Linked DNA regions of Oryctolagus cuniculus. The protein of the gene in region 1 interacts with the protein of each later gene in a pairwise test. Links are inferred from orthologs where the notes say so. Each region holds a gene or a part of one and is shown on either strand. Other genes may lie near its edges.

Region 1 (4,069 bases):
AGGAGCCAGGTGCTTCCTCCTGGTCTCCCACACGGGTGCAGGACCCAAGGACTTGGGCCACAGCAGAGAGCTGGACTGGAAGAGGAGCAACCGGGACAGAATCCAGTGCCCCGACCAGGACCAGAATCCAGGGTGCTGGCGCCGCAGGCAGAGGATTAGCCTATTGAGCCACGGCGTGGCTTATTATGTGTACTTTTAACATCTTAAATGCTGTAGGGGAGACTTTGTGTTTGTTAGCATGTATTCTCATAGGTTGTCTATACATGACAATTCAAGACTATGTAACTATGGGTGTAAATTTCAGAAGGTGTGAGCAAGTCATAAAAAGTTTTAAGAAAAGTTTACAATTTTAAAACATTGTTCATAGAGTTTTCTTTTTTAAAAAGATTTATTTATTTATTTGAAAGTCAGAGTTACACAGAGAAAGAGGAGAAGCAGAGAGAGAGAGAGAGAGAGAGAGAGAGAGAGAGGTCTTCCATCTGCTGGTTCACTCCCCAATTGGCTGCAACGGCTGGAGCTGTGCTGACCGGAATCCAGGAGCCAGGAGCTTCTTCCAGGTCTCCCATGCGGGTGCAGGGTCCCAAGGACTTGGGCCATCTTCTTTCTGCTTTCCCAGGCCATAGCATAGAGCTGGATCGGAAGTGGAGCAGCTGGGTCTCAAACTGGCATCCATGTGGGATGCTGGCGCTTCAGACCAGGGCGTTAACCCGTTGCGCCACAGCATCGGCCCCAAGTTTTCTACAAGTTGAATGTGAATGCCAAAATTACATTGACCCAAGATTGAAGTCCAATCTTCTGTTATGACAACGAGGTTTTTGAAAAATGCATATTAATATGTTAGTAAATATCCATATCATTGCTTGGTTCCAGTCCTGGCTGCTCTACTTCTTTTTTTCTTTTAAATTTTTATTTATTTAAAAGAGTGACACAACACACACACACAGAAAGAGGTCTTCCATCTGCTGGTTCACTTCCTCACTTCCTTTGGGTCTCCCACAGGGGTGCAGGGGCCCAAGTACTTGGGCCATCTTCTGGCCCAGGCCATAGCAGAGAGCTGGATTGGAAGTGGAGCAGCGCCTCACTGTTACCTTACAACCATATCTTGGATCCGTTATTGGGTTTGTTCTTGTTAGCTGTTATCTTACTCGGACCAGCGCCCATAAGGGATGCCGGCACTGCAGGGGGCAGCTTTACCAGCTATGCCACAGCGCCGGCCCCGGCCCCGCCTGCTCTACCTCTAATCCAGCTTCTTGCTAATGTGCCTGGGAAGGCAGCAGAAGATGGCTTTGTCTACGCAGCCGGAGCTCGGCCAGCGCCGCCCCGCCTCGCCTGTAGCCCCGCCCCCTGCCCCGCCCCCTGCCCCGCCCCGCGCCTCCCCGCGCACCCGGAACTCCGCGTCGCAGTCGCGTTGCTGGAGGGGCCAATTTGGTCCCGGACTCTGCGCCCTACGCGGGTTCCGGCGGCGAAGGCGGAGCATGGCGGTGAGCGTGGCGGAGGCGCGCGCGCTGCGGGCCCCTGGGCTGCTGGCGGCCTCCAGTGACCCTGATGCTGCCCTCTTCTCTTCAGGCCCCAGGACGTCCTGCTCGCGAGGCCTCTGCGGCCTCAGGCTCAGGTACCGCCTGCGCGCCACGCAGACCCCGGGCCCCTGGCGCGGTTCCGGTGCCCCGAGTACTTCCCCTGTTTCCGTGCAGGGCGACCCACGTGCGGTGCCGCCGCCCGCAAAGCGAACCCCGCAGTCTCTGAGGGCAGTGCCGCCTCCAGGAAGTCCAAGAAGAAAATCCGGGACAGGGCTCCTGCGGCGAACGGAGGCCAGACGGCTTCGGAGCAGCCCGCTCCAGAGGAAGCCTCGCGAAGTGCCGAGGCGCAGGCAAGGGGGTCTCCCGGTGGCGTCTAGAAATCAGCCTTGTGGAGGCAAGGAAGGGCCTGGGGCGGCAGGTCCCGGTGCCTGCCCTCAGCCCCTCTCTCCACCCGTCTCAGGCGGAGCAGCTGGCCCGAGAACTGGCCTGGTGCGTGGAGCAGTTGGAGCTGGGCCTCCAGACGCGGAAACCCACCCTGAAGCAGAGTGAGTGGGGGTGTGGCGGTGGCGGCGCTGGGTGAGAGGAGGTGGGTACAGAGCGGGGGACTGGCCTTTTCTCTTATGCGCAGGAGAGCAGGCTGTCGGGGCCATACGAACCCTGCGCAGCGACAGGACGCCCCTGCCCCGGAAGCGGCAGCTGATGCGTGCCCTGTTTGGAGACTACAGGGCTCAGATGGATGCCGAGCGTCTGGAGGCCCTGCGGTCTCTTAGGGCTGGTGAGGAGCTTTGCGTTTTGGGATGTCCGGTTCAATAGAGAGGAAGGGCTTAGGGAGTGCATCTCTGACGCTGGTGGGGATGGAGTTGAGCTCAGGGAAGCCTGGGCGGGGCGGAAGTGTGGAGCCCTCAGCAAAGCAGAACTGGGCCTGGGCGCAGGGGGCAGAGGTTCTCGGAGGGGAAGGAGCCTGGCCCACAGCTGGCCCTGCCTCACCTTCCATGCAGCAGTTAGTAAGTCCTGGAACCAGCCATCCACCTTGCTCCAGTCCTGAAGCTACCACTTAGGTCGTTAGCACCCTTGGCAAGTTCTAGTTCTCTCCGTGATTCTGTAAGTCATGATAGGAACTGCCTTAGGATTCTCAAGATCAGTTGATTTCTGCTGAGGGTCAGGGTTGCATGAGCAGTCGTAACTGCACAGGTGCTGTTTGCTGTTACTCAGTCCTGACTCTGATGCCCTCTGCCCCCCCCCCCCCAGCTGCTCGGTCTGCCCAGGTGCAGCCTGTGGGTGAGGCCACCAGAAAGAAGAGCCGAAAGGTCTGCAGGCCACGTCCAGTGGGAGGCGCCAAGGCCACTGTGGATACTCCTGATGAAGAGTTTAGGTTCAATTTCTTTTAGCCTCTCCCCCATCAAAGAACAACCCCGGGATGTTGTCTTGAGTGCAGAGACTTTCCAGGAGGTCTCTGTTGGCAGAGGTCAGCTTCGTCTACAGCAGGGCTGTTGGGCTGCTGTGAGTGTCAGACAAGTGCAAGCCCCCATTTGTATGTTTTTGGATGACATGCCCCTCCTGGCATGAGAGAGAGAGAGAGGAAAATCTACAGGAAACAGAAATGAGTGTCATGAAAAGAATAATGTACTTTATTGGTTTTTCAGGCTTGGTTAAGTGCTCCTGGTAATAAGGATTAGTGGTGAAGCTACCTAATTGTACGCTGGGGCTCAGTTTTGAAAATAAGCCCATTAAATATTTCATTGCTTTATACCATTTTGTCTTATTGCCTCAGTCTCCACTTTTGATGGAAGTGGATGATTGAAAGAATGCTGAACATCTCTGTCTGAGGAAGTACACGAGCTGAGGGCCCAGCATAGTTGGGTCCAGGACCTCACCCGACGTGTGGTCCCTTGTCCTTGTTGCCCTCGTGAGCAGTGTTATCCCCAGGGCCGCTGTGGGTCCCAGCAGCACAGGCTGTTCAGAACACTGCGTCAGGCCCAACATCTCCGTCTGTCTTTTGCTTTCTGGTCAGTGGTGCTTCTGCCCACCTGGCTGCTTAGGTGGCAAACTTGTCATCTCCCTTTTTCAACACACGTCAGTACTTGAATGGTTGTCAGATCTGCGTCTCATCTGCACTGCTGCTCTTGGTTCCGGCCCCAGGTCTCAACCATGACTGCTGTGTTGGCCTGATGTCTGCTGCGTTGCCGCTCTGTGGGTGTGTCGGCTCATGGTTCTCCTGACTGAATGGCTTCATTAAACCCAGACTACGGTATGAAAACTGACACACAAGGCCTTAGGGCAGGAGCGTCACGATGGCTCTGACATAACCTCCCGCCCTTGTTCCAGCCTCTCTGGTTTCTTGTTTACTCCTGAAATAACCAAACGTTATCCTGCCTCAGGGTTTTCAGCATTACTGCTCATTTTATGTGGGTTTCCTTGACTGGCTCCTGGGAAAGCAAATATCAACGGGCTTCGTCCATTGTTTACTAGGCGAGGTAATATCCTGTGAAGAGACTCAGCAGTGTTCACAGGAAGTGGTTCCCGCTTGGGCACAGTGCAGATGTAAAGTGTCA
Region 2 (4,063 bases), on another chromosome or scaffold:
GGCTGGGCAAGTGAATCCCTGTGGGGCTGTGGTGGGTGTGTGGCACGAGGGGGCAGGTGGTGCGTTCAGCCTGCAGCCGGCAGCGGGCAATACCGGCTCTGGGAGAGGGAGGTCCTGCTTGAGCGGAGGAGGGGATCTGAGTGGGTCGCGCAGGTGTGGGCTGAAATGCGAACGCCGGGTTCTCAGCACCCTACCTGCAGGTGGGGCTTTGCTCTCCTCCTTTGTGGCTCCTTGTTCGCTTCCTTCTGAGAATTCACTGCAGCCTGTGATTATCTTGCTTGTCTGCCTCCTTTTTAGACTCTGAATTCCGAGGGAACAGACATCTGGTTTCTCTTGTTCCTGCTCTTGCCCCAGACGCAGGGCCTGACACGCACAGGAGGCCCTTGTACACATCTGTGGAATGAACAAGTGAGCCCAGAGGAAGGAGGTGGAGGGCTCACGCTGATCCCTCCTGGGTGGCGTCTCCTGTTGCAGCTGCATCACCTGGGCCCACAGGTACCAGGAGCTTCGCCTGGGTGTGGGGGCCCCAAACCCTGTGTAGGACTCAGGCTAGGAGCAGCGGCTGGGCCAGGGGCACCTGGAACTCCTTGGCTTAGGCGCATGAGCCAGGGGACGGGTTAGAGACGGATGAGAGACCCCGTGGGAGGATGTGGGGACACGGGATGGGGCGGCCTCCTTGAGTCTGAGATGGGAGGAAGCAGAAGGGCTGAGGAGGAGGCCAGCATTCGAGCGATGTTTCAGAGGCTGATTCAGTAGGGCTGGGCGCCGGGGTGTGCAGGAGAAGGCAGCGGGGACACCAGGAACGGTCCTGGGGCTTGGGAGGAAGCAGTGACCCAGGGGCCAGCCAGGGCCCCCTCTCGCCTGCCCCACGGCTCACCGGGGACGCTCAGGGAAGTCGCCCAAGGACAGAACAGGTGTCTGCCAGGCTGGCAGGAGGCAGACAAAGCCAAGTCGGCGGCGTTGCTGGCTGCGCACGGTCCCCCGCTCACCGCAAAAGGCACGACACCGCCGCGCCCACCGGTCACCCAGGCGGGCGCGACCCAGGGAAGGCGGGAGTGGAGGCCGCGGAGGCCGCGGAGGCGGTGGGCGCTAGTAGCTGGAGACCTGGCTGGAGTCTCGTCCGAGAGTTCTCGGGAGGCAGCGGCTTTGGGAGGAACCATTCTCCAGAGATGGGGGAGAGAGGGCAGAAACCCTCACTCTGAGCCCCCGCCCGCGGGGCGGGCGGGACGCTACGCCGCACTCTCCTCGCAGCCCGGCTTCTGCCTGCGTCCTCCGCTCTGCCCCCGCGCGCGCTCTGTCCCGCCGCCTCATTCTCGGCCACCCCCGTCCCCACGCGTGGCACGGCCCGGGGGTACCGGTTCCGCGCGCAGGTTATAAAGCACCGGCTGCGGCAGCGGACTGCGGAGTCGAGATGCGCCCGAAGGAGCAGGGGCAGGGCTGCGCCGGCGATGGGCTGGAGTCCGGCCCCGGCCCCGGCCCTGGGGATCCAGCAGCGGTCATCCCCGAACCCCCGCCCGCAGCCGGCCCCGCTCCAGAGCCTTCGGCCGAGCCCGAACCCAGCCCCGCGCAGGCACCGGGGGCCGGACCCGGAGCAGCCTCCGGGCCCCAGTCCGGGACCAAGTCCCGAGCCCAGCGCGCGGCTGCATTTTGGGCCGAACACGGGGACGCGCCCTGGACCCGCTTTGTGTTTCAAGGGCCCTTTGGTCCCCGGGCCACGGGCCTGGGACGTGGAAAGGCTGCTGGCATCTGGGAAACGCCGGCCGCCTACATTGGCCGGCGGCCCGGGGTGTCTGGCCCTGAGCGCGCCGCTTTCATCCGGGAGCTGCAGGAAGGTAACCAGGTCCCCGGGGACCCGGGACGGGCGGGACCCTCGCAGCTCCGGGGAGAAGGGGCCCCGTCGAGTCCGAGAGCCCCGCCCCCGGCTCTCGGTCCCAGCCGGCTACCCCCCCCCCCCCCCCCCGGCGGTGTCCTGTCTGAAGCGCTGTCTGGCCGCCCCCTTCCTATCTCTTGCTCCCCGGTGGCTCCCTGATTCCCGCGGGTGCGTCCGGGCTAGGGCCCGAAGCTCCCCCGCCGCTTCGGGCGCCTGTTGCTGCAGCGGATCTGCGCGCTCTCAGTGCCCCCTCCCCGTCTACTGCAATGCCAGGAGAGGGGCGGGGGGCTGCGGGAGGGCGCCGCCAGGCGCGCTCTGAGCCTGCGCTGGCCCACAGGGCTCGCCGGCGACCCAGAGCTGGTGGGCGGAGGGGCAAGCGTTGCGCACTTCTGGACTTCTAGGGGCCAGGGGAGTCTAGGTCGCGCTCCCGCCCAGCCTGGCATCTGCCCCTCTTCTTGTCTCCGTCCTATTCTGAGTCGGGGCGGGGCAGACCTCCGGTCTGGGTACCCCTGTCTCGGTTCTGGAAGTCTCTCCCTCCCCTCCTGTCAGTGCGCAACAGGTGCAGGGTGGGGACTGAGTCTGTTTCTGCGACTCGCGCGGCTTCATGGAGCCAGTGCGTGGCTGTGCTCCCATGCTGCCTCCTAGGTGCGGGGACCCGGGTGGCCTGGGAGTCCAGTTCCTGAGCCCCGAGGACTGCCACTCCCTCGCTTTACCCAGATCTCGCTATGGGGGCGGGAGTCTGGTCCAGTTGGCCCCTGGAGGCAGGGGCTGAATACTGGGGGGTGGATGAGTACTGGGGGAGGATGTTGGGGCAGGAAAGTGGCCCAGTGCCCTCCCTCCACGACCCCCGTGTGGACTCCAGTGGGCGCCTGGAGGCATAGCTTCCCTGGTTCCTGACTGCCTGTGCCTCCCGCAGCGCTGTGCCCTAACCTACCCCCAGCCAAGAAGATCACCCAAGACGATATCAAAGTGATGCTGTATTTGCTGGAGGAGGTGTGTACCCACTTCCCAGGCAGGCCAGCCCCGAGCCCTAGCCAGTCTCCCCCACCCCCTTTAGTTCTGCCAAGTAGCCTGGAAGGGTCTAGTCTGTTTCCTGCCTGCCTGAGTCTCTGGCAACCCAGCGGGGAGGGGAGGACGGTTGGTCTTCTGGAAGGCAGTGGATACAGGATGTTCAGGCTAGGGGAGAGCGCCCAGCCAGGCTGGTTAGAACTGCCTTTTTCCATAAGGGGCACTCACTGAGTCGGGTCCCATGGTGGGTTAGTGGCAGACTCCGGCCGGGCACATTGAGAACTGCAGGATGGGGGGGTTTCCCCTGAAGTCCTGGCCTCCTGCTGCCCCCTGTGCACCTCCGAGCCTCTCCCTCCCGTCTGGGAGAGCTTGACAATGGGGAAAGCAGTCACCACAGGCGGGGGTCTCTCTGCAGAGAGAGCGCGACCTGAACACGGCGGCTCGTATCGGCCAGTCCCTGGTGAAACAGAACAGCGTGCTCATGGAGGAGAACAGCAAGTTGGAAGCCATGCTGGGCTCGGCCAGGGAGGAGGTGACAGGGCGGGAGGCGTGGAGGCGGGGCTGGGGAGGCCGGTGACAGGGCAGGAGGAGTGGAGGTGGGGGCCAGGGAGGAGGTGACAGGGTGGGAGGTGTGGAGGTGGGGGCTGGGGAGGAGGTGACAGGGTGGGAGGTGTGGAGGTGGGGGTCAGGGAGGAGGTGACAGGGTGGGAGGTGTGGAGGTGGGGGCCAGGGAGGAGGTGACAGGGTGGGAGGTGTGGAGGTGGGGGTCAGGGAGGAGGTGACAGGGTGGGAGGTGTGGAGGTGGGGGCCAGGGAGGAGGTGACAGGGTGGGAGGTGTGGAGGTGGGGGCCAGGGAGGAGGTGACAGGGTGGGAGGTGTGGAGAGGGGGGCCGGGGAGGAGGTGACAGGGTGGGAGGCTTGGAGAGGGGGGCCGGCCTACTCCCTCCTTGAGCAGGGCCCTGCCCCTGCCCCTGCCCCTGCCCCTGCCCCTGCCCCTGCCCCCGCCCACAGCTCCTCTCTCCTTCTACCAGATTTTACACCTCAGACAGCAGGTGAACTTGAGAGATGATCTCCTTCAGCTGTACTCAGACTCTGAAGATGAGGAGGAAGAGGAGGAGGAGGAGGAAGAGGAAGGAGAGGAAGAGGAGGAGGAGGAGGAAGAAGAAGAGGAGGAGGAGGAGGAGG

The links. The genes of interacting proteins can lie anywhere in the genome.
Region 2: the proteins of C6H8orf33 (region 1) and HAP1 interact in a two-hybrid assay, tested with the Homo sapiens proteins (2 studies listed by BioGRID and IntAct). The link is inferred for Oryctolagus cuniculus from reciprocal best matches to the Homo sapiens genes C8orf33 and HAP1.

What each region holds. Positions count from the first base shown.
Region 1 is NC_091437.1:168,508,242-168,512,310, forward strand, and holds the start of C6H8orf33 (UPF0488 protein C8orf33 homolog), read left to right. Parts: upstream 1-1,265; 5' UTR 1,266-1,280; coding exon 1,281-1,481; intron 1,482-1,566; coding exon 1,567-1,612; intron 1,613-1,691; coding exon 1,692-1,867; intron 1,868-1,977; coding exon 1,978-2,062; intron 2,063-2,145; coding exon 2,146-2,292; intron 2,293-2,515; coding exon of another isoform or gene 2,516-2,562; exon of another isoform or gene 2,563-2,765; coding exon of another isoform or gene 2,766-2,905; exon of another isoform or gene 2,906-3,264; intron 3,265-3,656; coding exon of another isoform or gene 3,657-3,736; exon of another isoform or gene 3,737-3,765; intron 3,766-4,069.
Region 2 is NC_091448.1:20,960,776-20,964,838, forward strand, and holds the start of HAP1 (huntingtin-associated protein 1), read left to right. Parts: upstream 1-1,261; 5' UTR 1,262-1,411; coding exon 1,412-1,832; intron 1,833-2,786; coding exon 2,787-2,863; intron 2,864-3,293; coding exon 3,294-3,410; intron 3,411-3,909; coding exon 3,910-4,063. UniProt on the Homo sapiens protein: Originally identified as neuronal protein that specifically associates with HTT/huntingtin and the binding is enhanced by an expanded polyglutamine repeat within HTT possibly affecting HAP1 interaction properties.